2 linked regions of the Caenorhabditis elegans genome follow. The protein of the gene in region 2 purifies or fractionates together with the protein of the main gene of each other region. This does not show direct contact. Each region holds a gene or a part of one and is shown on either strand. Other genes may lie near its edges.

What was found.
Region 1: the proteins of T21B10.3 (region 2) and Y49G5A.1 fractionate together in Caenorhabditis elegans (co-fractionation; one large-scale study listed by BioGRID). This does not show direct contact.

Annotation. Positions count from the first base shown.
Region 1 is NC_003283.11:5,281,992-5,295,827, forward strand, and holds Y49G5A.1 (BPTI/Kunitz inhibitor domain-containing protein), read right to left. Parts: upstream 5,383-13,836; 5' UTR 5,370-5,382; coding exon 5,238-5,369; intron 4,922-5,237; coding exon 4,810-4,921; intron 4,764-4,809; coding exon 4,702-4,763; intron 4,659-4,701; coding exon 4,416-4,658; 3' UTR 4,352-4,415; downstream 1-4,351.
Region 2 is NC_003280.10:8,925,737-8,943,482, forward strand, and holds T21B10.3 (Edg1 TPR repeats region domain-containing protein), read left to right. Parts: upstream 1-8,645; 5' UTR 8,646-8,671; coding exon 8,672-8,704; intron 8,705-8,754; coding exon 8,755-8,854; intron 8,855-8,901; coding exon 8,902-9,186; intron 9,187-9,231; coding exon 9,232-9,431; intron 9,432-9,740; coding exon 9,741-9,853; intron 9,854-9,897; coding exon 9,898-10,192; intron 10,193-10,242; coding exon 10,243-11,559; intron 11,560-11,608; coding exon 11,609-11,896; intron 11,897-11,987; coding exon 11,988-12,138; intron 12,139-12,183; coding exon 12,184-12,598; intron 12,599-12,641; coding exon 12,642-12,868; intron 12,869-12,996; coding exon 12,997-13,127; 3' UTR 13,128-13,296; downstream 13,297-17,746. Other genes in the region: B0457.2 (Glycine-rich protein), read right to left, coding at 126-294, 555-635, 754-811; cct-2 (T-complex protein 1 subunit beta), read left to right, coding at 2,009-2,137, 2,183-2,300, 2,359-3,528, 3,575-3,747; mrpl-50 (Large ribosomal subunit protein mL50), read left to right, coding at 4,117-4,649, 4,703-4,901, 4,948-5,073; enol-1 (Enolase), read left to right, coding at 5,267-5,358, 6,370-6,455, 6,612-7,558, 7,604-7,876; Histone-lysine N-methyltransferase set-17, read right to left, coding at 13,468-13,486, 13,705-13,792, 13,840-13,932, 13,983-14,345, 14,391-14,456, 14,500-14,602, 14,651-14,752; T21B10.4 (uncharacterized protein), read left to right, coding at 15,164-15,360, 15,404-15,530, 15,582-15,686, 15,737-15,839, 15,891-16,113, 16,157-16,556, 16,601-16,702; cutl-15 (ZP domain-containing protein), read right to left, coding at 17,152-17,229, 17,689-17,746.

The sequences.
Region 1 (13,836 bases), on a different chromosome or scaffold from region 2:
CCTTTGAAACAATAATGTTTTGAAACGGTCACGTAACATTGGAACAACAAGAAGAAGGTCAGTTTGCCAAAAAATATGCTATGTTTATTTCTGACCCTCTGTAGAGTGTGGAGGCTGGGACTTCCCGATGAATCATCGTGGGTACTGTAGGGGGCGCATAAGGAGAGTGACATACAAATTTTGAGAATCGATTCGATGTTTGATGAAGAAAAGTACGAAAGAAACCCCGTTTTTTACGATATATGTTGGAAAGACTGAGAGCTCATTTAGGAGGAAAACGAGCTAATGCATTGTCGCGCTCAGAGTGGCACAATTTTTTTTTGAGGTTTTGTAAACGTTTAAAAATACTCTTAATAGTCTAAGAATCTGAAATACTGAACAATTCTTAAGAACAATGGAAAAAATCGCAAGAGGTTAAAATTTTCAGCTCATAAAAACGCTACCTTCCGTCATGCAATTCTCATTTTGGAGGAAGCTCAAACAAGGGAGTTAGCTCATGTTCCTTGTTCCGCCTTTAATGAAATCTTTCGAAATTTTCATGATTTTTAGGAGAATCGTTTTGTTTTTTACTACAGCTTTCGATGCCTTTTTATGTTGCTCAGAGTTCTACCCAATTGGGAAAGTACACCTATACCCCCAACTTCACACGTTTTGGTAGCTGATGGAGCACCGAATTACCCTCGGAAGAATCAACTTATGTTGCGCAACTCGGAGTAACTGGATACAGTGATCACTTCCACAGGTGCGAGGTCAATTCAATGACACTTTGTAACAGTCAACACAGTATCTATTACGTATAAATAACACTTGCATGGAATTTTGGTGGAAAAACTAACATATCCACTTTGAAAGTGACAGTAATCCCGAATCTTGTCGGCAAGTTTGAAAACTCTTTAGGTCCATCTGGTGTTCCCGCAGAAACTGCGGTGCGGTCTTTGTGACAGCCGCCAACGTAAACAAATTGTATGGAGAAGGTTACTGTATAGAATAAAATACTTCAAGAAAGAATTAAAACTGGGGAGTGAGAAAATTTAAAAAAAAACTTATTAAAATATTAACTTTTTGAAAACATTATAGTTAAACGAAGGATCAATGCACAGTAATTTCTGATCAATATGCTTTATCTGTAAAACATAATATTGATTTTCGAAACACACATCTCTTTTGAATTGTTCACTTTCTGAGAGTTGAAACCGGTCAATTGAAGGACTTACAAAAATAGAAATAGGAGAGAAGTTGATTGGTTTGAGAATTATATTTATTTATATTGAAAAACGAAAAAATTGAAACAATACTATATTTGGTGAACGGCCAGAGTCACTAATTTTGGTGAACGGCCAGAGTCACTAATTTTGGTGAACGGTCAGAGTCACTAATTTTGGTGAACGGTCAGAGTTACTAATTTTGGTGAACGGTCAGAGTTACTAATTTTGGTGAACGGCCAGAGTCACTATATTTGGTGAACGGTCAGAGTCACTTTATTTGGTGAACGGCCAGAGTCACTAATTTTGGTGAACGGTCAGAGTCACTAATTTTGGTGAACGGTCAGAGTCACTAATTTTGGTGAACGGTCAGAGTCACTAATTTTGGTGAACGGTCAGAGTCACTAATTTTGGTGAACGGTCAGAGTTACTAATTTTGGTGAACGGCCAGAGTCACTAATTTTGGTGAACGGTCAGAGTTACTAATTTTGGTGAACGGCCAGAGTCACTATATTTGGTGAACGGTCAGAGTCACTTTATTTGGTAAACGGCCAGAGTCACTAATTTTGGTGAACGGTCAGAGTCACTAATTTTGGTGAACGGTCAGAGTCACTAATTTTGGTGAACGGCCAGAGTCACTAATTTTGGTGAACGGCCAGAGTCACTAATTTTGGTGAACGGTCAGAGTCACTTTATTTGGTGAACGGCCAGAGTCACTAATTTTGGTGAACGGTCAGAGTCACTTTATTTGGTAAACGGCCAGAGTCACTAATTTTGGTGAACGGTCAGAGTCACTTTATTTGGTGAACGGCCAGAGTCACTAATTTTGGTGAACGGTCAGAGTCACTTTATTTGGTAAACGGCCAGAGTCACTAATTTTGGTGAACGGCCAGAGTCACTAATTTTGGTGAACGGTCAGAGTCACTTTATTTGGTAAACGGCCAGAGTCACTAATTTTGGTGAACGGTCAGAGTCACTTTATTTGGTAAACGGCCAGAGTCACTACATTTGGTGAACGGCCAGAGTCACTAATTTTGGTGAACGGTCAGAGTCACTTTATTTGGTAAACGGCCAGAGTCACTAATTTTGGAGAACGGTCAGAGTCACTATATTTGGTGAACGGCCAGAGTCACTAATTTTGGTGAACGGCCAGAGTCACTAATTTTGGTGAACGGTCAGAGTTACTAATTTTGGTGAACGGCCAGAGTCACTTTATTTGGTAAACGGCCAGAGTCACTAATTTTGGTGAACGGTCAGAGTCACTATATTTGGTGAACGGCCAGAGTCACTAATTTTGGTGAACGGCCAGAGTCACTAATTTTGGTGAACGGCCAGAGTCACTAATTTTGATGAACGGCCAGAGTCACTATATTTGGTGAACGGTCAGAGTCACTAATTTTGATGAACGGTCAGAGTCACTTTATTTGGTAAACGGCCAGAGTCACTAATTTTGGTGAACGGCCAGAGTCACTATTTTTGGTGAACAGCCAGAGTCACTATACTTGGTGAATGGCCAGAGTCACTAATTTTGGTGAACGGTCCGAGTCACTATATCTGGTGAACAGCCAGAGTCACTAATTTTGGTGAACGGCCAGAGTCACTATATTTGGTGAACGGTCAGAGTCACTAATTTTGGTGAACGGCCAGAGTCACTATATTTGGTGAACGGTCAGAGTCACTATATTTGGTGAACGGCCAGAGTCACTATTTTTGCCAGAGTAACTATATTTAGTGAACGGCCAGAGTCACTATATTTGGTGAACGGCCAGAGTCACTATACTTGGTGAACGGCCAGAGTCACTATTTTTGGTGAACGGCCAGAGTCACTATATTTGGTGAACGGTCAGAGTCACTATATTTGGTGAACGGTCAGAGTCACTATATTTGGTGAACGGCCAGAGTCACTATTTTTGGTGAACGGCCAGAGTCACTATATTTGGTGAACGGCCAGAGTCACTAATTTTGGTGAACGGCCAGAGTCACTCATTTTGGTAAACGGCCAGAGTCACTATATTTGGTGAACGGTCAGAGTCACTAATTTTGATGAACGGCCAGAGTCACTATATTTGGTGAACGGCCAGAGTCACTATACTTGGTGAACGGTCAGAGTCACTATATTTGGTGAACGGTCAGAGTCACTATATTTGGTGAACGGTCAGAGTCACTATATTTGGTGAACGGTCAGAGTCACTATATTTGGTGAACGGCCAGAGTCACTATATTTGGTGAACGGCCAGAGTCACTATATTTGGTGAACGGTCAGAGTCACTATATTTGGTGAACGGCCAGAGTCACTAATTTTGGTGAACGGCCAGAGTCACTAATTTTGGTGAACGGTCAGAGTCACTTTATTTGGTGAACGGCCAGAGTCACTTTATTTGGTAAACGGCCAGAGTCACTATATTTGGTGAACGGTCAGAGTCACTAATTTTGATGAACGGCCAGAGTCACTATATTTGGTGAACGGCCAGAGTCACTATACTTGGTGAACGGCCAGAGTAACTATATTTAGTGAACGGCCAGAGTCACTAATTTTGGTGAACGGCCAGAGTCACTATATTTGGTGAACGGCCAGAGTCACTATTTTTGCCAGAGTAACTATATTTAGTGAACGGCCAGAGTCACTAATTTTGGTGAACGGCCAGAGTCACTAATTTTGGTGAACGGCCAGAGTCTTAATTTTTAAAGTAATGCAAACGTAGTAAATCTCCCAATAAAAAAATGCGGTCATATTGCATGAAATTTAGTTTTTTTGATCAAACTGAAAGCTTCTGGCACCTGGAAATTTTTGTAATTAAATTCTGAAAGCGCTTAAAATTTGTCCCTTCTAGGACTTTTTACATAAAAAGCAGGATGGTTCTAGAATTTTCTAGAAACTCTGGAAAAGTTTTAGAATTTTCTTGAAATTCCGCAAAACTCCAGGAAAAGTGTTGACTGTACAAAAATCTTACATTAGCAGTTTAAAATTTATTAAAACAATTTACCGTACGCCAGTCGGAGCACGTGCAAACGGCTGGTTTTTTATAATATGCTTCTACATTAAATTTTTCATTTAAAACAGTGGGATATCATATACAAATCGATAGCTTTGTATATTTGCTGGAGTCCGAAAATCTAAAGATTTCAGACGAATTGTTTGGAAAAGGTTATATTAGTTATATTAATTCATTAATAAAAAAGTTTATATAGATAAACATGCACGGCCGAAAATAATTAATTGCAGCAAGTGGCAAAATATGTTCCCTCCACACAGGTTGCTCCAGCTGGACAGAACTTTGATTTGCAACTCTTCCCAACAATCGTTGTAGGGATTCCACCCTCGACAATTTTTGCAACTTTCTTTCCTTTTGGACATTTTGGCTCATAATCAGCTTCAATCAACTTTTCAATCTTCTTGTCACAGCAAATATTAATATGATTAGAGTACCTACAGATACCTTTTGGCCCACATTCTTCCTGGAATTTTTACAGATTTTTTCAAAAACATGGAGCAACTTACATCGGTTTGGCAGTTTTTATCGTTTATTGGCTTACTTCCAGCGGCACATCCCGATTGATCATCTAAATACTTTGGTTTAAAGTAAAAAATTCAAATGAAAAAACATACATCCAGTACATGTAAATCGACATTCACTCTCAGTTTTGAAATTATTCTTGTTTCCTCCACATCCACTGTACTCAAAAGCCAATGGGATATTGGATTTTTGGTCAAAGTGGTACTGTAAATTATTAAGACTTTATACTTTATGAATTTTATGAAATAAAAATATTGAGAAATATGTTTAGTTTCTGAAAATAATTTTGCTTTTGTTGAAAGTTTTGAAAAGTTGAAATTTTGAAAAGACTTACAGTCTCAGTGTTATTTCGGCACGTTGACTTTTGAGTCAGTTTTTGAGCAAATTCTCGGAATTTTCAATTAAACGTATAGCTATTTTCAGAAAGTACCAATGTTTTTCTATATTTTTTTCCAATTTCCAAAAATTCCAAAGTTTCCAAAAAAAAGCGACATGAAAGCTTTGAAAAATCAAAACTCACTCTTATCTCCTTCTTTCCATTTTTACATGGTGTTTTTCCCATGTCCAATGGAAGTTTGCACTCCGGTTGAAGTGTCGAGACTAACTCACTGACACACAGAATAGTAGCCAAAAAGGTAAGAAGAAGATTCATTTTGCAAAATTGACAGAATAATTGAAATGATCACCGTTTTATACTACTGGAGAAATGGATAAACACGTTGAGAGATAAAGAAATCGAATGACTATACTCAACACTTCCTGGTTTAGATAAGAAGAAGGTCAAACTGGATAATGTTTGGTTGAAGTTCTAGTATAGATTCGTTTAGAAAAATCCGTAAATCTCTTTCAATTGTCGAATGCTAGCTGACAAAACACCCAGAAATCTTCCAATCTGAAATTCTACCTAAAAGTCCAATAAAACAATTATTAATATGGTTGTGTGGCCAAACCATCTAAAAAACTGTTCAGCAAATTTTATAAACGCTCTTGGTATCACCGTGAATGATTCTTTGAATCACTTCCTGGTCACAGAGATTACCAATACGGAGATCATAAATGCCATTTGAAAAAAAGAAATTTTAAAATAGGCTACTACAAAAAATTGACAAGTATTGTGATCAGGATAAAATTCTATCTGATTATTTTTCCAGTGCAAATTGCTTCAAATCAACGATGCTCGAGCTCGACAAATTTCGAAATTTGCAGCACACCAAAAATTTGACAAAACAATTTTGCCCAAAACTATTGAATTTGTCCCCTAAAATTTAGTAAAATTCCACAAAATGGAGTTAATTTGATGTTTAAGCTGACACAGCTCACGAAACTTATTCAGAAATCAGATGTGTGATATCTTTGGTGCTCCAAAATACATCTAAAATATAACATTTTTCCGGAGTCTGTTGAAAACGGCAAATTTGCCGAGTTTGCCGAGCGCGGCAAATTTTGAGATTTGCCGCACATCCCTGCTCCAAATGTGGAAGCCTTTAAAAGTGATCATATTTTTTTCAGAAAGAAAAGTTTCTTGAAAACTCCTATAGTTGTTCACATGTTTTACAAAACATCTGAAAGTCAAGATTATATATGAAAAACTACTCTAACGCAATTTTTCTTTCTGCCACCTATTCACTTTTTCCAAAAAGTTGGGAAATCTCTTGGACATAATTTTCTAATTTCTTAACCCAACTCAAAAGCCTTATTTGAGAATAGACCTCGAGTAACCTAAATTCTCCGGTCCACGTGCTTGTTTATTCCGTTCATGCGAAGTTTGTTCCTAAAATTTTTTTAATATATCCTCTGTAATCCCCCAGCTAAACTCACAAATTTCCGATTCCTTATTTGCTTTTCATGTCACTTCGACGTCTACTTTTTTCGTTGCAGTTGCTTTTCTCTGAAATTCTCCGCAAAAAATAACAAAATTTTGTTACTTGTTACTTTGTTCGCCGTTGATTGAATATGTGCTATGGCAACTCTTTCTGAGTTGTTGGGTTCAAGTTTTGGTAATTGTATGTTTTCAAAAAAAAACTGAAAAGTAAGGTTTTGATTTAGAACGTCAGAATAGAAAACCAAAACCCAAAAAATAAAATAGAAAACAAAAAAAAACGAATCATTATAGTCAAGTCTCTATTGCGAAAAGCAGCTACTATTAGCCTATGGGGTCAATTTGATTATCTGCCTTTGCCTAGTCGGTGTTTTCCCAGCGCAGAATCCACTTTGCTCTGCCTGTGCTCCAAAAGAGTGCTCATTTTCAAAAGACACACATACACTCTTCTCATTTTCTCGTTTTTTTGCTTCTTGTTTCTCATCGTCCGGTTCTTTTTTTTTCCACTTATCATCTACACTTCCTTGATACCATGGCTTATTTAGTGAAGATGGCTTATTTAGTGAAGAATTCATGACATACTGAACGAAAATGTTGCAATGTTCCTCTCTGGGAATAATATTAAATTTAAAGGTGTTGATTTGTGAATTTTTTCGGAAACACTCTTTTTTGAAATAATAAATATTTTAATCAAGGGTGTCTGTTTTTCGATTTTTCACAAAATCCGATATTTCGAAAATAAATTATATTTTTTGCTTACAATGCTGGATTTTTCTTTTCAGAAGAAAATTTTATTTTTTGCCATCAACAAAATTCGATAAAAATATAGATTAAAAAAAAAATATATATAAAAAGTATTCGCCAATTCCTGCTCACACTAATTTCCATGTTTGAATTACCTCCAAAATAGAGAGAAACCATTTCCGTACCAATCAGATTGAACTAAACACACTCCGTCTGATTGGTTCACACATGGGCGGAGCAAATCGCTGATTGGTTGCACTTTTCGTTTTAGAGGAAATTCAAAAAAGGAGATTACCGAGAGTTCGAAATTCGTAATTTCAGAATTAGGACTTTTGAAAATTTTTTCCCATTTTCGAATATTACTGTATATTCAAAGTATTTAGAAAAAAATCTACATTACTTAGAACTACCACAATGAGAAAAACTGAAAAATAGTTACTAATATAAAATTTTTAATAACTTATCAACACCGTAAAAAATAATTGTACAGAATTGTACAGTCAAAAAAACTTGTAAATGCTCTAGATGCACCCATTTTCAACAAATTCCAGCTATTTTTTGTTGGACGAATATGTTCCAAGGCGGTCAATCCGTCCAATCAACCAATTAGTTCTAATTCTCAACAAGAACAACGTGGATGAAAATGTCTTCTGATTCATTTTTTCCCTTCCTCCAGTCTTCCCCAAATGTCCTTTTCTTTCTCGTTATCCTTTGTATCCCCGTCATTCTGCTCCTTTGCTCCTTGGCAACATCTCATCAGTGCGTGTGGGGGGAGCTCTTCAAGATATTCGATTCCAACCAACACCACTCAAATTCACCCCTTTTATTCTCATTGTGAGAAGGCTTTGACATCACGATCAGAGATTGATGTTGTCTTATTTTTTTCTGTTTTTTATAAAGATTCTCACAAAACGAACATTTGTTTTCGTTTGATTTATATTCTGCAAATGATGTTAGTTTGCTCCGTTGCACTGGATATTGTTGGTTTTTTACTCTGCTTCATTAGATACGAGAACTGATATAGAGTAGGTTTTTCAATTTATTTCGCACGTTCTAGGTACATCTCGACCAAAAGCTGAAAAAAACTGGAAAAGAAATTTATAACCCATTTTCAAAAATTTTACTAATTTGTTTTACTTTTTTGTTGAACACGATTTTTGCTAGCCAGAAAATATCAACTTTGTTCTAAACCAAGCTACCGTTTCTTTATAGACTTTTTCGTTGAGTTTATGAAACATTTGTCACCTGACAAAATGTTCACTACTTATTTTTCTTGAGTTTTGTATTCAACCACTTTGCAAAATTTTCAAAATGAACAGAGTGGTATGTGTACTCAAGTAGAATAGCCGGGTGCAAGAGGGAATACGGTAATATATACGGTAAAAAATAGAATCCGGGTGCAAGAGGGAATACGGGAATACGGTAAAATATTTTTTGGGCAAAACTAGGGCAAGTTCTGTTCTGTTGGAGTGCTTTTGGAATTTTCAGAATTTTGAGCAATTTGCCAACAGTACTTCTTCATTCCGATTCATTTCAAATAGTGCCCAAAACCCCCTAAAAGTGTACAAAGCCGTTAAAACATAAGCTCCACAGCTCTGGCTCATTCGTCGACACTATGCCCATAAATCGCGCGTGCGGAGATTCTTGCTCCTGGAAACGCGTGAATGAGCTGCTCCGGCATTCCGTTTATAGCCCATCCTTTTTTTCTGGTTTTGTTCTTCAGGATTCATAACCAAAACATGTACATTCAAATTTCCAATTTGTTATAAAATACCTAAACCTACCGTAAGAAACCATCTATTTTGAGCATCTTTAAAATGAAACATTTTTAGTATGTTTTTGTCGTTTTGATTCAACAGTTCTGATTCTATAAATTGGCGGCTTTAAACTTTCAAATTTTAAATTCCACTGTTTCCGCCATTTGTTTCTCTGATGTACCATATTTTCCAAAAGTGAATTTCCTGACACCATCTCTTCAGCCATAACTGGTCTTTTTCTTCTTTTTTCTATCGGTTGCTCATTTCCATAAGCGCCCCGTCAGACTGGTTGCTGCTGTTGTCCTAGAATTCCCGCGGGACATCCCCCCTACTCTTTTCCATTTTATTCCTTTCGTCCCTATTCCTCTATCACGTGTCCTAACACTTACAGATGTACTCGATATTTATTTATTTATTTTCAAATTGATAAGAAGTTATTATAATAAAAGTTGTAGGAAAAAAAAAGATTCACACATTCTGTAAAATCAAATTAACAAATTTTTGATGATGCATCACAACCTAATCCAATTTTTTTCTTTCAGCTCTATTTCCGACACATTTTCTTTTCCATCAACGCCTTCTGATTTTTCTCAAAGAAAAAAGAAACATTTGTTGTTCACAACGTCATAGCCTATGAATGAATCGGTTGTAGAAAATAAGGAGGAAAAAAAGAAAGAAAAGTAGAAATTGAGAAGGAAAAAAGAGAAGAAAAAAGAGTCGCGGAAAGAGAGAAGCACTTTTATGAGTGAGAGCTCTTCCTTTTAGAGAAAGTGGTTTTGGTGCTCTATTAACTCGCCAATTGTCAACCGTTTTTCACCTCTCAACTAGTTAATTTTTTTCTGAAATAATGCAGCTTTTTGTAACCTATCAAACTTTTCAAAAAAACCTGATGTTACAAAAGATTAACCTTTCAACTTTTCACCCAAATTTCCTGTAATCATCAGTAGCAGACAGGATATTAAATTTGAATGATTCATAGCCAAAATGGATGGAATCAAAATTTGCAAAAAAGTTCGTTCAGATTTTCACAGTTTGAAAAATTGCAAATTAGTCCCGCGCAAACGAGCGACCTAGTTTCGGCCTTTTTGGTTTTCAGGCTATATTTAGATATTCTCTGTTTTACAACTTGAAGCATAGTTTTTCACATTTTTAGACGTTTTTCCGTAAAGAAAACATGATCACCAAAAAAACATTTTACGGAATCTTTATATTAGGTTTAAAATTAACATTGAAACATTTATGAAATATTTTTGTAGAAAAAGAAGACCAATGTATTATCCCGCAATACAAAAAAGTCCAAACTAGATCAGGCATTTGCGCGGGAATTCAAAAATAATTTTGCCCTTCTAAAATATCTTGCCAACTGTGATTTCTTTAAAAATATCTGAAAACTTTTATAAATTTTTTCACAGTTATATTTGGTACCATTTTTTCCTTATAGAAATTATCTAAAAATTAGAGTTTTCGGTTGTTTTGTTGTAAATTTTCAATCCGATCAATCTAAAAATATTTTCGTTTTCCCTTGTTGCAAACCAGTTTTCCAAATCCATTATTTATTCTAGTAAGCACGAAACTAGTAATTTTGAGCCTATTTTATTTTTATTCTACGTCACCAAAATTGTAAAGTGCACCGAACCCAAAGATCTTCCAACGCCCTCTTTTTTTTTAATCTCATTACCATAATTTACTCATTCCACCTCCCCCATTATTTCAAAACTCAAATTTTTTGACTCTTGACCCTTGGAGGAGTTTCGTTCCGATAAAAAACAACAACCCAAAACGTTTTCCATCCCACACACAAACACCATCTTCAACAACTCTTTGCCGTTTTTCCTATTCCTATCGAAACACACACTTCCTGAATAATTCATCTTGCCCTTCCTTCCTTCCTTTTTGCTGCTATCTTTGGGAGCTTTTTCTTGGAGCCACAAGCTTTATGCCAACTTGAACTTAAACTTTTTTTGGGTGATGTTGACGTGGAATATTTTTTGGGGAGTGTGTAAAGTATGCGGAAGAAATACCGGAAATTGTGCTTCCGTCAAGCTCATCTGACTGAAAAGTGAGCCCAGCAAAACGCAAAAAATTTTCGAAGACGGAAACGAAAGGAGAGTTTTTTGGAGCAAAACGAGGATATGTGTTGTGCATGTGTGTGTTTGTGTCAAATGAAATGAAGCCGTGTTTTTTGCGCCCCCCGTCGTCGCAGTCGCCGTCTTCGTTGCCATCGCCGAAAAGTCATTAAACGTCGAAGGGACCCCGGGTCGCGTGGCTCACAAGTGATGACTGATGTCCCTGTCGGCGCCAAGCAGCTCGTTCAGCTGTTTTTGTATTTTTTCTGTCTCATCTTAAAACGCAAAGTTGCAATTTTAAGTGTTGTTTACTGCTTTAAAAAAGCAGAACTTACACCTACATTTCCGCTTTCAAACTTTTCTAGTCACCCACACTTGAACTGCATTAGCATCACCCACGTAAGTAGAAAATTTAAATTTAAATATGCTAAAAGTAATTTGCAAATAAGTTGTTATTTCCTGATTGGGAACTAAAAAGGACTAGCTAGAACGTCTTGGTATTGATATTAAAAATATATATTAACTTTTCCGTTTGCTTTTTAGATCAAAAATTGCATCCCGTTTTGCTACCTTTTTGCGGAATTTTATTAATTTTTAAAAATATACGATCAATTTTTTTAAAGGTATTAAAAGTTTAAGTAAAAAAAAAAGATTTTCCAATTTATTAAGTTGGTAAATTTTCAAAAATGTGAGATTTAAAAAATAAAAGTAATTTCGAGCAACGAGCAACCTTGAACCCCCAAAATGCGCAAATACAAATAATTGAAACGTAATTAAAATATAAAATGTGTAGAAAATTTGTTTCTTTTCGACTTTCGAGGGTATAGTATGATACCACTTTTTGACTGTAAATAAAAATTTCAAAAAATTTTTGAAACTTTTTACTGTGATAATTAAACAATAGCCTTAAAAAGTGGTGATACCTTAAAAAAAATTTTCAAATTTCCCAAATGTAGGAGAATAGGTACTTTTTACGATGAAACCATGTCTTAATTAAATTTAGAAAAAAACTTAGTTTCTCTTAAAAACACGTGTCTCCTGCATTGGTGGCAGTTGTTTAGAACATTGACAAAAAAAAGAAAAACAGAAAACAACAATTGCTTACTCGGTCAGACAAGGGGAAAATAGCAATTGAGACACAAAGCGTCATACTACAATTTTCATACATAGCTGATCGCAGTTAGGATTTTACCCAATTCTTGACTTTTGCATAATTATTAAGTTGATGGAAAATTATTTTGAGATTTAATTTTGAACAAATTTGAATTTTATTTCAATATTTGAAATGTTAGTTTATTTTGATCTAGAAATTCACGCGTGCTCTCTTGGAGTCGAATCTGAATTTGAATTTTTATCATAGTATCTTGACTTGAATGGAGATTTGCTGAGAAAGTCAAATTTCATAGACTCATAGATTAATAGAACCCAATTCTTCGAAATTCTGCGTTCCTATGTAGATAGAAAAGATTTCTCATTAATTTTCAATGCAATTCCCAATGCAATTTTCAACTATTTTACCCACTAAATGTTATGTTCAAAAATCTCCTCTAGTTATCAGCAATAGTAACAATTAGTTGCGGGAGCCAATAGACTCTCACCACACATTCACGTAAGCACTTGAGATGCATACATTGAAAAAGAGAGAGAAACATAGAGATTCTCGTAAATTACTGTAGTAGTTCGACAAACATTGCTTCAAGGTAGTACAAGGTATGTACATTACAATTTCAATGCTGCTTCTCCTCACTTTCTCTTAGTTTTTTGTGCCTTTCTGAGATTTGAGCACCACGGCAAAAAAGATTGGCTTGCGCACTACTTTTCAAGTGGTAAAAGTGAAAAGTGACAATGGTATCTACAGGTATGTGAAAGTTCATAATGACCTTGTGACGACCAATGAGGTGAAGATACCGTAATCGCTACAGACGTGTTTTAGTGTTCTGATCGGTTACATCCTGTGAAAAGCACTTGAGATTCAGATAGGTTTGTATATACTCTTTGCAAGGATAATATCAGAACTATTATTAGAACAGGGGGATATCCCCTTTTCAAGTGTCTTGGATTATCGAATTATTAGAAAGTTGAAATTTGATTACCAATGGATATTAAGCGGTTGCTGAAATCAGAATAAAATTCAATAATCTAACAATGCTTGGATTTTCTTGCAGGGAATTTTTATTTTTCATAGCGCCAAGTGAGTTGGCTTTTTGAGGAAAACTTTCATGGTAGGCAGGCATAAGTGCCTACCTAATACCTACTTTCTAACGTACCTGCTTACCATGGGACAACTATTGTTGACCACCCTACAAAATAGCCCAGTGCGGAATGTTGGTCCCATATTTTTCCTCATAATTTTATTTCAAAGTATAGAAAAATGCTTGATTGATCTGAAAATACAATTTATTTTCATTTGAAATTGTGAAAAAATGCTCAAATGTGTTAAGTTGTTGCTTTTTAAGATAATATTCGCTTTCGGAAATTGGCAACTTCCTAAAGTTTTGTTGAGTAGTTTCTATCCTTTTCAATTGAAATAAAAACTATTTTCAGGCCAATTAACTTTTTTTTCTATATTTTGACATTGCTGCTTATCTATTAGACACCGTTTTGGATTGTAATAAAAGATTACACTAGTAAAAGCATACTTTCAGGAATTTTTGTGCTTTTATGTAATCTTCAAGGGAGTTACTTTTCAGCTAGTTCAGGCCGCAGTTAAAATTACTAAAATTTTCAAATAAT
Region 2 (17,746 bases):
CTGTTTCAACCCTGCTTTTGGATACTATAAAACTACATACATAAATTTTTAAAGAAATTTTTGAGATATATCATCATGGATTTGGGTCTATCGGAAAAATTTATATACCTATAAGGTAAACTTACCTAGTTGCAACATCTTCGAATGGATCATCCACATTTGATGCAGCTGATGATCTACCAGAATTAGCTTCTTCTTCAATAAATCCTTTATTGGAATGTTTTGAAAGTTGCTCTAATCTTTCGGCAGTTAGGCCATCTCCATTTATGATTTTAGAGCTTTGAGCACGGCTATCTGAATAAAATTAACAATAATATTCCAATGCAGAAAGCCAAAAAGATTTGTTAACATTGTATTTATTCTAGGTTTGAAATAGAAATTGTATTCAATTAAGCTACAAATCCAGCTTTTCTAATTTGCAATAACTATCATAGATTGCAGAGGCTACAAATTCGTTTCCGTTGTTTCAATTACGTCACATTTCATTATCACATTCGTATTGTTCATTCGGATAAAAAGCGGTTTTGAACAGGAAATTCCTAATTTGAACTTACTCGGCTGACACACTTTAAGATGTGGTTCTGCAGCACACAATTCGGTTTTTGAGAAAGAAAGAAAATGATCAGAAGGTCGAGCTGAAAATCAATGGTTTCGAGACTGTGGTATTGACTTTGTGAATTGGTTTGTGGTCAACTACGAAATACAATGAACAAGTTCTTCCACGTAGGCTGATACATTTCTGGATCCACTAACCATCAATTGATAATATAGTTAATAGAAGTAACAGCTGACAAAGCGGTATTGACCGCATTGTTGTTAAAAAATGATTGAATGTTGAAGAATAAAGAAACTGTTGCGCGAGAGATGCGGTCCAACTAAAGGTATGCGTTTAGCGTCTCCATTTCTTCAATGTTCTCTTCTAACTTATCATTGTTTTGTGATGAAGAAGTCAGTGTCTGTATGTGTGTGTGTGTATGTGACCATATTGTCAGCCTTTTCTCGATGTGTAACTTTTTTTTAGAAAAAGGTCTTGTCTACAAAAACTACGAGACCAAGAAAAAAAAGAAACGGTTACCACTGTCATAATTTTTTTCCTGAAGGACATAATGAAATCCATGACCAACTTCAAAAGCAGACTTCAGCAAAGTGCAATTTTCATAGAGAAACTATAGTCAAACCATCAGAAGCCGTAGTTTCCAAGATTTCCAGAGCAGTGTTAATGGGCTCAAGCTGGAACGGAGAAGCCTGTCTACTACACGTGCCTGTGTTTACTGTTGTATTCGATAAGAAATCCTAAAAGTTATCAAACCATAAAATCTTGCGATAGACTATGGTTTCTGAACTGATATCGACCGTTCGTGGAAATTTGACATAGGAGCTAAATGTTTTATGATAAACCCTGGCTTTCTCTGAGCACTTTAGAATTTGAAATTTTATATAATTCATTTTCTACAAGAATTGAACAGATCTGTAAAATTTGGCACCTGTAGCGACCAACATGACTGAGATCGTGGCGAGACCCACTCAAACTTCGCAAAATTACAGAGTTTTTCTTCGTAAGGGAACAACATAAAAATTACTAAGTTTCATAATTTCAATGAGAGTTCGAACCATTCCAAACACACGAGTTTAATTTTAGACGGGTGCAGACCATTAAAAATATTATTCTAACTGGTGGCCGAGAAATTCGCTGGCCGTTCAGCAGACGCGCCCCATTGGACATTTAAATATTTTGAGTTTCGAGAAGGATTTTCCCTCAGTTTTCTATGAATTTCTGGAGATTTCAATTCGTTTTCACATTTTGATTACCGTTTTACAATGTTAAAAATTTTCCAATTTTATATTTCTTTGTGAAATCATAAAACTCACCTTCCTCATGCACTATAGGCCATTGAATTAGGCGTTTTTTAAATCTATCATTCACACAAATGTTTATTTTAGACGTTCTTGGATTAATTGTACATTCAAACTTTCTGGGTTTTTTTTTCATGTTTCGTATTTCAGCAAGATGCTTCCAGTCCAAATTTTAAAGGACAATGCTCAAGAGGAACGAGGAGAGAGCGCTCGTCTCAGCTCATTCGTGGGTGCAATCGCCATCGGAGATCTTGTCAAGTCTACTCTTGGACCAAAGGGAATGGTAAGAGCGTTTTGATTGTTAATCAAAATTAAATATTAATTTTAGGACAAAATTCTCATCAGTGGAAACCCAGAAAGCGCAGGAGGAATCAAAGTTACCAACGATGGAGCAACGATCCTGAAGTCAATCGGTGTTGACAATCCAGCTGCTAAGGTTCTTGTTGGTAAGTGCTCATTCACTGAATTTTGTTTTTACTTTTACAAACGTTTTGCATCTTTCAGATATGTCAATGACACAGGATCACGAAGTTGGAGATGGTACTACTTCAGTAACTGTCCTGGCCGCAGAGCTCCTCAAAGAAGCCGAGAAACTTGTCAATCAACGTATTCATCCACAGACGATCATTTCTGGATATAGACGTGCTCTCGGGATTGCTCAAGAATCCTTGAAAAAGTCCAGCATTGAATCCGGAGATAATATTCGTGATGATCTTTTGAAGATTGCCCGTACTACTCTTGGATCTAAGATTCTCAGTCAACACAAAGAGCACTTTGCTCAACTCGCCGTTGATGCAGTTTTGAGACTCAAGGGATCTGGAAATTTGGATGCCATTCAAATTATCAAGAAGCTCGGAGGATCCATGAATGAATCTTATCTCGACGAGGGTTTCCTTCTCGAAAAACTCCCTGGAATGTTCCAACCAAGAAGAGTTGAGAAAGCAAAGATTCTCATTGCCAACACACCAATGGACACTGACAAAGTGAAAGTTTTCGGATCAAGAGTGAGAGTAGATGGTGTTGCCAAGGTTGCTGAACTCGAAGCTGCTGAGAAATTGAAGATGAAAGAAAAAGTTGACAAAATTCTGGCCCATAACTGTAATGTCTTCATCAACCGTCAGTTGATCTACAACTACCCAGAGCAACTTTTTGCCGATGCTAAGGTTATGGCTATTGAACACGCCGATTTTGAAGGAATCGAGAGGCTTGCTCTTGTTCTCGGAGGAGAAATTGTTTCCACATTTGATTCACCACAAACTGCTCAATTCGGATCTTGTGATCTGATTGAAGAGATTATGATTGGAGAAGATAGACTTCTTCGGTTCTCGGGAGTCAAATTGGGTGAAGCTTGCTCAGTCGTTCTTCGTGGAGCAACTCAGCAGATTCTTGATGAGTCCGAAAGATCCCTCCATGATGCCCTTTGTGTTCTCGTTACTCACGTGAAAGAATCAAAGACTGTTGCCGGAGCTGGAGCGAGCGAAATTTTGATGAGTTCAGCCATCGCCGTCGAAGCTCAAAAGGTTGCGGGTAAGGAAGCCCTTGCCGTTGAAGCCTTCGGAAGAGCCCTTGCTCAATTGCCAACCATCATTTGCGACAATGCTGGACTTGACTCGGCTGAACTTGTCACAAGACTCCGTGCAGAGCACGCCAATGGACGTCACAATATGGGAATCGGTTTGTTCATTTGGAAATCTAACCATTATACAAAATTATCTTTCAGACATCGAGAAAGGAGAGGTTGCTGATGTTACGAAATTGGGCGTTATTGAGTCTTACAATGTGAAGTTGTGCATGGTTTCTTCCGCCGCTGAAGCCACGGAACAAATTCTTCGCGTCGACGATATCATCAAGGCAGCTCCACGTGCCCGTGCTCAAGATAACCGACCATGCTAATCAAATTGTTCGCCAGACTGTTAAAAGATCTTCAACTTTATTCTCCCTTTTTCAGCTTTTAATCGAGTGCTTCAACACAATCGTATCTCGTTTTTTTTCGTCCCCTTCATTCTTATTTTTGATGGAATTTGATACACTTTCTGTTGCTTCTGCCTACCGTTTTTATATGCCCCCGTTTTCAATTTAATATTCGAGAATACCGCGTGTTTTTGCTTGTTGATTTGTTTTCCTTTTAAAATGAATGGAGTGCGATTTACAAAAGGTACAATATTTGAAATGTATTTTATTCCAGTTTTTATCTGATTTTTTATATTTCTGATTAAAGAGAAAAGAAAAAGCTTAAAAGAAAAAATTTAGAACTGCCAAAAGATGCACAGGAGTTTTCCGAGGCTTGTCCGATCGCAAGGTAACTTGTTGAAAGGAATGTTTGGAAAATCCGGGGAAAAGGAAGCAGTAAAGCAGCTGACACTGGAAGAACAGGAGAGCCTTCGCAAGACGCTTCCCAGCATCCGTGCTAGAGAATCCACACAAGTTACTGCTTCAGCTGATTCTGTCACTGAATTTGACGATGATCTGTTGACGATGAGCCGTATCGACACGGATGCCATCCGGGCCAGAGGTTTTCTCAAATACACGCAAAACTATGTTCCCGGCGTTGATGTCAAAAACCAAGTACTTGAAGCAGCGTCATCATGTCTAAGAAGTGCTGGAGTAAAGTCTGAAAACGTGGATCAGTACAAATTTGTGGAAGGAGATAACTCTGTAAAGTTCGAGTTGTTGAACAGGCTGGGAAAATCCATCGAACATTGGCCAACCAATGGAAAACTTCTTCATTTGGAAACAGTGGCAGACGTCGTCGAATTTTATCAGACGCCTGTCAAAAATGTAACAAAATATACAGAGTTAGTTTTTGTTTAAAGATGCTTATTGAATTATTAATTAAAATAAATTATAGAATGGCTCGCGATGAGAACAAACCGAAAAACGTCTCGATTATGGAGCATGCTGCACGTTTCCATCCTGAAGACACTCACATGTATCATGGTGGAATCACTGCATTCCCAGGATCAGGTGGTGAAGTTCTCTCTCTGAGACAGAAACGTCTACTTCGACAGTTCCAACCGAAAAAAGAATGGTTCGATTATGATGATCAGGTAATTTTTAAAGTTTCAGTGCTGACTTAAAATCGGCATTTTTCAGACATTTGATTACACTCGTCCTGACAAGAATATGCCATGGGATCCAGAAGTTGCTAATCAAATGGACAAATACACTGATAAACGATACAACCTAAAAACAAAGCAATTCACTAGGATTCGACAATAAAAAATAATTTGGTTCATTTTTGTATTAGAGTTTCATATTTAGTATTTTTAGACCTATTTTCTTTTTGTTTGATCTATCGATTTTTATTGTTGTAAATAAAATTGACGTTGAAAAAAATATTTTTGACCTCTTCACGTTTTGATCTTCCTCTAAAGTTTTGCTCTACGCAAGTTATTTCAGTTTTTGATTTAAAATGTTTGTTCCATTCACCTCGGCAGCTCACTCGCTCACTTCGCTCATTCGAGGTGGCGGGCAGCCTTCGAAAAGCAATCTGTCTGGACAAAGGTTTTGGTTATCTCTTTTTCTTTATTTTCCGCCAGTTGATTTCATGCTCCCGCGACTTCCACACGCAATCTGCAAAATTTTGGCTGCTGAATCAGGGTAATGGGGTCTGCCGTGCCTTTTTTCCAAAACGTTGACTGATGTTTACTTTTCTTTTATGTTTCATTTTGACTTGTTCAATGGTTTTGAACAATAGTGTGTGCAAACTAACGTTTTTCTTTAAATTCAACACGCAAGCTTTGAGGTGTTTTAGTTAGAAAGAAAATAGTTGTGTTTCTCTTCAAAAATAAGTTTTTTCCGAAATGTTTTGCAAATTTTCCGAATCAACAATTTCTTCTCATATCAGACCTTATCACTTCTTCTCACTTCTAAAACTGACCACTGAACATAAAAAACATTTGGTAACTCGCTTCTCAAATCCAATCTGAAGTGCATGCTTTGCCAATCTGAAACTTCGTGTAAGTCACGTATTTAGGCGAAAGGCAGCCGCTCAAGTCGTCGCTTCTCCCCAGCGGCAGTTGCTGGCGTCCTTGGCCCCTCACTTGTTTTCGAGCCCAAGGCATTGGCTCCTCTTTTCTTCTCGGCATGACGAATTTAATCATAATTCTCAATATCTAGAAGTGTTCAAGAACTTAGTGAATCTGCAATGCCTTTTTTTTGTAACTTCAGTTCGAATCTTAACTGCGTCTCTTTGAGATCTACAAACGAATTTTATTCACTGCCACGAAAAAGAGGCTGTCCGTGCGATTCTATTGAACGTGCGCTCTCGGGCCGCTCACAAACACATCTAACCAGCTGCATTTTCTCTGAGTCTCGTGTCCTCCGTGCGACCTTCGTCACTCTTTCCACTTTCTGCGCCGTCTATTGACGGCGCCGCCTTTTTCTTCTCGCACTCCTTTACCCCTTCTCGCCTCAAACATTTTATCTTTTCAGTTGTTTTGTTTACTAGTGCCCGTTTCTCACGTAGTTTTATATACTTGTTTGATTATTGAAAACATATAGTTCATTTTGCAGGATGCCAATCACCAAGATCCACGCTCGCCAAATCTACGACTCCCGCGGAAACCCAACTGTTGAGGTTGATCTTTTCACTGAGAAAGGTAAGCGAGCATTGTATAAATTCTATCAAAACTTGAAAAACCAATCTAGATTTGAATAAAATAAGATTAATCTTGTTTTATTCAAATCTGAAATTTCATGAAGTATATTTCAACATTATGACGCAATTCCGAAATCACATCATTTCTTGTTTCCAGGAGTCTTCCGTGCCGCAGTTCCATCTGGAGCTTCTACTGGAGTTCATGAGGCCCTCGAGCTTCGTGACGGTGACAAGGCTGTTCACCTCGGAAAGGGGGTTCTCAAGGCCGTCTCGAACATCAACGAGAAGATCGCTCCAGCTCTGATCGCCAAGGGATTCGATGTCACTGCACAGAAGGACATTGACGACTTCATGATGGCTTTGGATGGATCGGAAAACAAGGGAAACCTCGGAGCTAACGCCATTCTCGGAGTTTCACTTGCTGTCGCCAAGGCTGGAGCCGTACACAAGGGACTCCCACTCTACAAGTACATCGCCGAGCTTGCAGGAACTGGAAAGGTTGTGCTCCCTGTTCCAGCCTTCAACGTCATCAATGGTGGATCTCACGCTGGAAACAAGCTCGCTATGCAAGAATTCATGATTCTTCCAGTTGGAGCTTCCAGCTTCGCTGAAGCCATGCGCATGGGATCAGAAGTCTACCACCACTTGAAGGCTGAAATTAAGAAGAGATATGGACTCGATGCCACCGCTGTTGGAGATGAAGGAGGTTTCGCTCCAAATATTCAAGACAACAAGGAAGGACTTGACCTTCTCAACACTGCCATCGACAAGGCTGGATACACTGGAAAGATTTCCATTGGAATGGATGTCGCAGCATCGGAATTCTTCAAGGACGGAAAGTACGATTTGGATTTCAAAAACCCAGCTTCAGACTCCTCCAAGTGGCTCTCTGGAGAGCAACTGACCGAGCTCTACCAATCTTTCATCAAGGAGTATCCAGTTGTCTCTATTGAGGATGCTTTCGATCAGGATGATTGGGATAACTGGGGCAAATTCCACGGTGCCACTTCCATTCAGCTTGTCGGAGACGATTTGACTGTAACCAATCCAAAGAGAATTCAAACTGCCATCGACAAGAAGTCATGTAACTGCCTCCTTCTCAAGGTTGGTTATTTTCTTATTCTGCTTCATACATAAGTTTCTTTTCAGGTTAATCAAATCGGATCCGTCACAGAGTCAATCGAAGCAGCCAAGCTCTCCCGTGCCAATGGATGGGGAGTTATGGTCTCTCACAGATCCGGAGAGACTGAAGACACTTTTATCGCTGATCTCGTTGTTGGACTTGCCACTGGACAAATCAAGACTGGTGCTCCATGCCGTTCTGAGCGTTTGGCCAAGTACAACCAGCTTCTCCGCATCGAAGAGGAACTCGGAGCTGATGCTGTTTACGCTGGACACAACTTCAGAAACCCACAAGTGTAGATCACTCAATCTAACCTATAAATACTGTGTATTTTCGTACTTTCTTCTCAAAATTGCCCTCCCTTTTTATGTAGTCACCTTTTTACCCTATTTTAGTGCTTGACCAGTTTAAAGTTGATTCCATTGTAGATTATTTATTGTACTTGTAATATGAAGATTGGACATGAAAATTTTAACGAAAACAAACATCTGGTTATTTAATTCGGTTTTTGTTTTTTTCTAACTACGGTATCTGTTAAAGGAGCACGCGTTAATTTGGCTCAGGGTCCCGCGACGAAAACTACCATCGCGCGAACGCGTACGCGCCAAAAGTTCTGAAATACATTTTCATCATTTCTTTTGTCACACATTTCGTGCCATGTCATTTACGAAGTGGGTCTGATTTCAAACCAACTGAAAATTCGAGAATTATCGCTCATTTTTATGTCTTATGTTTCGAAAATATAATCAATGCATTTCATTGATTTGTTTTCGTTTCGTTTCGTCGGCATTTTTCAGTTCTCCTGTTCTGCTAAATAGCTATCCTTCATTGTTCCTCGAACTAAATAAGTGGTTACAAATTAACTGTATTTTGCAAACAAATTATAATTTGACTGTTGTGCCTCATTTTAAAGAACAGAATAATTCGGCGCAATTTGTTCATTTTGCAGTTACTTATGCTCTCAGCACGCACTTGTTTTTCTCTCCGCTCTCTTCGTCTCTTAATCGATTTTATCTTTTCTGATTTGTTTGAAACTTTATATTCTCAAATTAAATTCCTGATTTTCAGAAAATTCTCATGCTCGTAACAGCAAAATGAATAATCCAGAAGAAAGCGCTGTAACAGATGTACGTTCATTTATTTTTTCCATTAGTTGTGCAATAATTCGTATTTTCAGCTCCGAAAGTTCACCAATTTGGTTCTAAATGGACTTGTTGACGAAGAAGCAACAGCTGCAGCTCTTATTCGGTATCAATTCCAGCAGCGCACGATCAAAGGTTATTAAAGACGCACAGAACAGCCTCAATTAAATTTACGATTACAGATGTTGTTCGGCGCGGTTCCGAGGATCCCGAATTGAAAGCACAGATATGTGATTTGCTCAATCACCTCGTTATCTACCTGAATGAGGAGATTGTGGAAACTTCTTCCAAAGCGTGTCCGGATGGAATGGACGATCGACATTTCGTGCAACTCGAAAAACGGATGCACTTGATGTTCGAGGTATACTTGGCAATGAATGTCGTTCCCGATTATCTGATTCCTGATCTCACAAAACACGTTGATGCAAGCCGTGAAGCTGTTAAGTATTCATATAGCCTCTGCAAAGGTACGTTTCGATAATTGTTAAAATATTTTATTGTTTTTTTTGCAGACTATTACCGCTGGAAAGAACTGCCATTAACTCTCAAAGAATTTTTTCTTGATGAGAAAGAGGAGGTGAAGGCTGTTGTCGATGAACCAGAACCGACAATGTTTGCACGCGACGACGGGGTAGTATCATCATTGGCTCATGAGAAGGCACAATCAGACGAGGATGGGAAGAAGAAACAGTTCGTGGCAAAGACCGAGAAGGTAGTAGAGCCCCTTAAAAAGAAAAAGAAGCAGAAAAAGAAGAATAAACAGCGCCAGTGAAAAATCCCATTTATTCTTGTACCATGGCGAGTTTCGTGTCTTAAAATTTTATATCTCACAAAATCTGAACCTGTGCAAATGTTTGTTAAATTTATCCCGCAAAAATTCGTATTGTGATTCTATTCGTTTTTGTCTTGTGATGATCATCATTTGATTCAGTATTTAGTCTAGAAAATAAAAATTTCAGCTTTCTCTGTGTCTGGTATCAAATGCATTTTATACAAGTTACTTAGACTGGTAAATTTCCAGGTTCTCAACAATTATCGCGCCAAGAATCCTGACTACAGAACGATGCGCGAGTTGATTAATGCGAAAACAAAGTTCCGTCTCGAGGGAATATACTGCGACAGTTTAATCGATGAGTAGGTGTTCTTATACACTATTTCTGTAAACACCTGATTTTCAGTTTCATATCAGTTTGGGATATGGCTATTGACATTGAACCAGTGAAGACAGAAGACAAGTTTGCATTCACTAGTCTCCTTAAGAAAGTCTTTCTCATGATGGTCGATAAAAGGAGAAATGATTTTGCTAGCAAGATTTTAGATAAATACAATAATGATGCTTCGGGTGTACTGCCTTGTCTCGATAACTTTGTAGAAAACTTTCAAACTGGACTTACGGCCGCCATAAATAACCTTCCGCTTGATGCTAACGTATTGAGCAACAATATGGAATTGTTCGAAAAAGCAAAAGATCCAGTAAGACAGTATTTTTGAAGTTTTCAGTAACCGAAATCTCGGATTTTCAGATAATATGGTATCTGCTCATTTCACCAGCCTACACAGTTCAACAGATCCTGCTGATTTGCGTTGATAACAAAGGTTACGTTCCTCTCGTATCTCGGATTTTTCGTGCCATACCAACATTGTTTGAACGATCTGTCAACCTCACACCGATGCATTTCGAAGGCTTTAAAACTCAAAAACTTTTGATTACCATTCTTCATAGAGTTTTCATTATTGGACGAACTACATGGACTTCTGCTTCTCAGTGGGAAAATGCTGCAATGATGACAATGTCGTTCGCGAAGGAAAGAAAACGAAAAGAAGGACAACCGGAAAAAGTAGAGGATAAAGCATTGCTGGATTCGTTTTCCTTGGTTAACTTTGCTCTCAATGAGCTCTTCAAGGATTATCGAAAACCATTGAAAGCAGTTGAGATTTTTGTGAAAATGCTGCAGCGTCTTCTTGCCAACAATAACAACGCCAGAATGCTCACAAATTACCAATTCTCTTCGTCTTTCTTTGATGATGGAAATAACTATCTTCCAACTTCGATAATAATGCTGCTAATGTTCGATCTTCTTGTGGAATACGATGGACAATCGAATGAAGTTTGTGATGGTGCCAGAGACATTCTGAAATCAGTTAGCGGTCGATTGAACAACGACAACATTATTTTCGATACTGATACATGCAGGCACTTGATCGATGAGAAATTAAATTATGCTCCGTGGTGGATCAAATATTCAATTTGTTCATGGTTTTCATCGTCTCTCCAGAATCCAAAAAAACAAGTCCCATCGGGTGTCTACAAAACAATTGCAGAACAACATCTAGATGAATTCGAACAAATTAAACCGGAAGAAGTTTCAACTGTTTCGGATTGCTACTTCAGATCACTCTTTGAACTGGGTCTTTTTGATGTTGATCTAGCCATTGAACTTTTACAGTATGGACATGTTGCTAAATTTGAGTCGTCAGTGGTTGAAAAAATCGCTTTAGCTTTGGTGGACAGTTATGGGAAGAAGATGTCTAAAAGAAGTGGTGGATTGGATATCGGAAAACTGATTATTTCAATGCTCCAGAAGTTTGATCCAATTCGAGAACTTGCACCACTCAAATCCTACAGCTCGTCCTACTTGGAAAGTGTCAAAAAGATCGAACACATACTTGTACTTTTCATGGCTGCTAGAATTGCAAAAGAGAAACAACTCAGCGCTGCAAGAGTCCGAACTGATGACACAATTCAGACCGCATACGATGAAGTAATTTCTTTGAATCAAGTTTCTGATCAACTTATGGACATTTTCTGCGAGACTACTAAAGCTCACGTTGATAAGGAGGTTACAAACTATTTATTTCAATCTATGATATTGATTTTCTATTTTCCAGGTAATGGAAGTTGAACAAATGAGACGAGAAGTGGAAGTTCTTTTGTTCTCTACTCCAGGAACGACACCTAATCAATTTAAAGCAATGGTTGAGAAGGAGAATAGAGAACAATCATTGGCTCTGCAATTATCAATGATTTATCTTAATTGTTCATATTTCTGTCGACTCTACCAGCAAGTTCCCATTAAGTTACAACAACTGATGAATTCAACTCTCGAGAAACAATTCGATTCGCAGAAGTTTTTAGCCAAGAAAGTTATGGATGACGTGCTGACAGAAAAAAGAAAGGTAAATCTCTTGACATTATTCGCTTAAAAAATTAGTGAAGAAAATTAGTTTAATTTTTTTTTTTGAATCTCAATAAAATTAATTTTTGCAGACCGAAGTTGTTTACGCATTCGTGGATACACCAGTCGAGCCGACTCCAAACGAAGATAATATTCAACCCGTTAAACCTGCAGAATTATTCAGACCACCAGTTGTTGAGAATGTCTCAGTTGAGAGTACAACGTACAATTCAAATGGAGGAGGTACAGTAATTCATAAATTTTTTATCTAACCACTTGCCGTTTTAGGTTACCGCCAAGGAAGATATCAAACCGGATATCAAGGAAAAAATCGTAGATCTAATTTTGAACAGCCCACGTCTTCGCGTGGTTCTGGAAGAAGTGATCGTACCTACGCTTATAAAGGAAATCGATTTCAACCTGTCAATGACTCCCACGTTTTTGCACCCAGAGAACGAGAGAATGTGTACCAGAACAGCAGTCATGATCGTGATATTCCACGTAATGATTATTCAGAATATGATCAAGAAAAGTTGTACCTTGACGATAAACAACCTCGTTTTCATTCTGAAAATAGAAATTCCAATGATGTTAGAAGATATTCTGAATCAAAAGACTCGAAATATGACAATAAAAATTGGAATAATCGTTCTTCTCGGTGGCCTTCTGAATCTGAATATTCTCAAGAAGATTCTGAAAATAGGTATGTAAGTTATCTGGTTTAAAATATTTTTTTCTATTTGAAGGCATCTCGATCAAACTATCCAATCCGTTCGAAAGTTCTCATATCGAGAGAACCAACAAAAACATAACAGACCTGGCACCTCTAGTGCTTCGCCGCCGAAAAACCAAGAATGGAAACAACATCAGCAACAGAAGAAAAGTTTCGGTGGTGGTTTTGGAGAAAACGGCAATAAGTTCAATGGAAACTCACGGAAACAACCCGAGAGAAAACCAAGATACACTTCCTCGAGTAGGTTTTTTTATTAATTAAATTGATCCTAATTCAGTAATAATTGTAATGCTATTGAAGTAGGATCAATTATATAATAGAAAAAACCAATTTTATCGTGAAACGATTTGGACTTTATTCGCTTTCAGACTTCTACGAACAAGATGAAGATTCACTTCAACTATTGAAACCTGACAGAAATGAGCTTGCTCAGGCAATGGGCCTCAATGACCCGCCAAACCCGCCCAAACCTCGTCGCAGTGAATGGACTCGTCGTTGAGTTAACATTCCCGTTGTCTTCTGTTTATTGTTCTCATACTTCCTATCCAAATTTGTTATGTTGGTTTTACTCTATTCGCCTCCCATTGAATTCGTATTTTTTTCCATTCCACATTTAATTTCTTTTACTTCTTTCAAATTTTCACCGCCTTGAAATAAAGGTTTGTTTTTAATTAAGATTGATGAGCGTATATAACGAGAAGAGCTTCATTTTTCTGCTGAATGGCTAACAATATTAGGTTAAACGGCGTGTAGAACTGGGTAAAAATGCAGTAAATATTAAATGTTGAACATTTCGATGTCGACACAAGAACAACTTGTGGATGAGGGTAAAAAGAAGATTATCTTTGAGCACCGACACTGAAAATTGGAAATTGTTAACAGAAAGAAAATGATTTTGAGGTGAAATTAGCACACTTAACTATTATAATACACATTAAAACGTTTCGGCATCCAATCAGGATAACCTCAAGAACTTAAAATACAAATAAAAGCTAGGTAACAATTCATGTCATTGTTTTGCATGAATTTAAAACGAGAATTGAAAATTAAAACTGTTTGAAAATTAAAATTATCACCAAATGAACGGATTCTTGGCTGGCTTTTTATACTTGTTTCCGTTTTCTGACTCGACAAACTCGTTTCCATAGGAAGATCCATACCAAACTGAAAAACAAAAAATAAAAACAAATTTCAGGTGGCTTTCCACATACCGAGCAATTCCTGGTTAATTCTGATTGGCTTGATTACACGGTAGAAAATTTTTCCATTTGTCTGGAATGCCAACATATTCTGCTCATCTTCGACTGAAATATTTTTAGTTAAGTTTACACAGAAAATCATAATTTTGTCTTACATCGTGGACTATTAATATATCTCAGCCAATTAGATCGCTCGGCGTCGGATCCATCAATGTAGAATCGCTTATCACCACTTTTAATAAGCCAAGCATATCCATCTTTGTAGAAATCTGTTTTTTTCTGACAGCGGCGACCTTTATACGGACCAAATACCATTCCAACTGGAATAAACACTTCAGCAATCACTCCTAATCCGGCATTCGGCAACTTTGATTCTTCGATGCGGAAAAGGATTGGCAGAGTTTGTTGCGAGAACGATAAGTTCGAGCTTTCATCACGTTTCAAGACACGATCGGGAATTTTGAATAGTGGATGCAGACGACAATATGGGCGATAAAACTTGTTGCATTTGTCACAATCTTGAAAAAATAAATTGTATTCGGAATTTTTTAGAATTGACTCACGAATGTCGAGATTTTCATCATATGCCCCGTCGCTGATTTCAGTTCCAAGAATAGTCACATCATTATCTGTAATACAGTCATACGAAAAAAAAAAGCGTACACACAATACCGGAAAGATCTTGGATTTCTCGGTGAAGTTTAGAGTCAAGGTAACGAGCTTCGATAATACTGATTGCTCCATCATTAAAGTCAAGCACCAATTTGTAGCTTTTCTGTAAAGAAAACTCGTAAACTCAAGCAATGTTTGAAATGTGTCTTACTTTCTCTCCAGTGATCGGAATGATGGCTTCTGGATTACTTATTCCAGGAATTTGAATCCCATTCATCTGAAAATAAGAGATATAATTATGTTTAATATTCATAAAATTGCGCAGTCAAAAGAAAAAGAAATCAACATGCTTGTTTGCAATCAACAGAAAAGAATCGGAGCGCGTTTGCAACAGGAAAAGGCGGAAATTCAAACTAATATTTTTCGAAAAATTCAGGAAAAGAAGAGTAGAGTATTTAGATGAGTAAATAACAATATTTTAAGAAAGAAAAAGAAAATGAATTCAGTGGAAAATTCACTAAAAATCAATGTGAATTTTATATCGATTACTTTCAATGTTGAATTTGAAATGTTTTGGAGGTGTACGGTATTCCACTTGAGATATTTAGTTTGGTAAAATCCCTGTACCTTTAAGCCATCTCTCGATTTCTTTTTTTAAATTGCAGTTTCAATTTAAATTTTTTACTCTTTCTCAAAGCAATAATTTAATTATTTTCAGAAAAAAATGCGGAAAAAATTTACGTTGTTCACTTTTATTCTACTTAACCTCACTGTCTCGGCAATCAGCAACAACGGCCCAACTGTTGATGAGATTTTGGAAACCAATCAATACTTCCTCGTTTCACAGCAAGATGGTATAACCTCCATCGAAACTTCTGTAACTCCCGGTCACTGTCCTCAGTTTATGGTAAATCCTAAAACGTAAGCTGATTACCTCGATGCACAACCTTATTAAAAATTGCAGAAATCATCCGAAATTCCGATTCGCAGGCGTTCATCTTGTACGTGATCCGAATGGCCGTTTTCCACCCAAGATAATGACAATCAGAGAAGACGATCATTCTTTCAATGCAAATATTTTCACTCTGAATGTAAGCTAACGCGAATTAAAAACAATATTCAAAAATTAATTTTAATTCCAGGTGTCCAACGTATTTCAACAAATCTCCTCGAAAACCGTCAGTTTTGTTGACAAGAAGAAAAGCCTTGTGCCAGAAACGTCAGCACTGAAGTTAAATAAAAAAATTGTGAGCATATTCAGAAATTTGGCATTTTTTTTCAATTTCACTAATTTCAGCTCTCAACTCTTTTTGACTCAACCAGCCACATGCTATATGTCGACTTCTCAACCTCAGATACTTTCGAAATGGAACAATTTTTTGTCAGTGGACTTCATACTGGTAAGCAAATACTTTTTAAAAGTTAAATGAAATGTTACTTCTAATTTTCAGACAACTTCAAATTAATTTCACTTCATCGATACTATAGATCTTCACCAAGCAGCAGATTTGAGTGGCAAGAAGATCAATATGCTGGAAAGTTCTATTATAAAGAAAGAATCGACGATCAGATTCAACTTTTCGAAATTCCAATGAACGCACTAGTTGCAACTGCATCAGAAGGAGAAGCCGGCGTGAAAGTTGGAAAAATGAACAAGGACGGCGTTATTCTTGGGTAGGCCTACCTAAAAGATTGACCCCTGAAAGATTTTTTTCAGAGCAACAGGCGGTGCGTTTTTCACATCTTATAGAAAGCGCGAAGGAAACATGACAAAATTGTACACTTCTCTAGTACCGGCAAACCTGAGCGCAGGTTTCAAATGCGAAAAATTGATTAAACCTTCTTCAATGCCAAATTTCTACGAGCTCATCATCATCAAGAATAATGATTATTGCATGTTGAGAGATGGCACGAATTTCGATCGTAAAAATTGTGAAATGGAACAGAAAGCGTACCTCATTTCCAAGCAAGTTTTTGAAGACGAGCCAACAAATGTTGTAATGTGGCTGCTCGTTGTCTGTATCATCATGTTTATGATTATCATGCTTCTCTACGTCTACATCTACTGGCTTCGTTCTACTTTCGTGGCAATTGAAGAGAGAGCTCTTCCCACTGAGGTTAAATATCGTCGATTTTTCTTTAAAAATATTATATTTTCCAGTTCGAAACGGAGGCATCTCTATTTGTCGCCAAGCAAAGAAGTTTCCAATCAGCATACTACGATCCTGCTCTTCTCGATGTTTCTGTCGACAAATGGAATTAATTTATTTTCCCCACACTTTTATCATTTTCAGTTCTAGCAATTAACTCAAAACCTGTTCACTGTCCCTTTTTATATAATAGTATACTGTTCTTCCCATCTCCTATCACACATCAACTTACTTGAGTTTTATTTGTTATTCAGTTTTATTTGTTATTCATTTACCCCTGTTCCATTCCTTTTGCACATCTCCTCTGCAGTTCTAATTTATTTTGTAATTTTTGAATTGTGAGGAAAACTTTCATTGCTTTTCCAACCAAAATAAATAAGTTTAAGAAAAAAGAACCCTGTGATGGCAGATAAGAACATAGGTCAATGGGAATGGCCAAAGGCGCACCGGAAAAGAGAATCCGTAAAGAGAGAAAGTCAGAAAAGTGAGAGAGAGAAAATGTCAAAGATAACAAAATGAGATCGGAGTTGGAAAATGGAGCAAAAATGACAAAATGAGCAAATTATGACATGCTGGCGATTTCATATTTTTGTCGGCGAACAATGAGAATCACAATTGTCGTTGTGATCAGGATTAAGGCCTGAAAATGAAAATTAATATAAAAATTCAGGCTTTTCAGCGATGTCTGCTCTGAAAGTATCAAACATGGTCTCGCCACGACTGATTATTTGAACTCCAAAGTGTGTGCGCCTCCGAGGAGTACTGTACTTCCCAACTTGTCACTTTTTTATAACTTCTCTCCTGTTGCCTCAAAAGTCTTTGAAAAACTATAAAGTAAGAAAAGTTAAAATAATAATGCAAGCATTACTAACTATTTATTTAATTTGATAAAAGATTCAACAAAAAAATTTGGAAGTATAGTACTCCTTAATGAAACACGTTTGCATTTGAAACATTGGTCGTGTCGAGACCGTATTTTTGGGCAAGAAATCGGAAAATTGATAAGTAATAGACATCTTAACTTTTTCTTGGTTCCTTCAAAATCATACGAGATTTTTGAAAATTACGAAAACCGTAGAAAAACTTGGTAAGTACTCACCACTGTTAATAAAATACTAACAACTAGAACTGATCTAAAATCTGCACATATTCTTTCT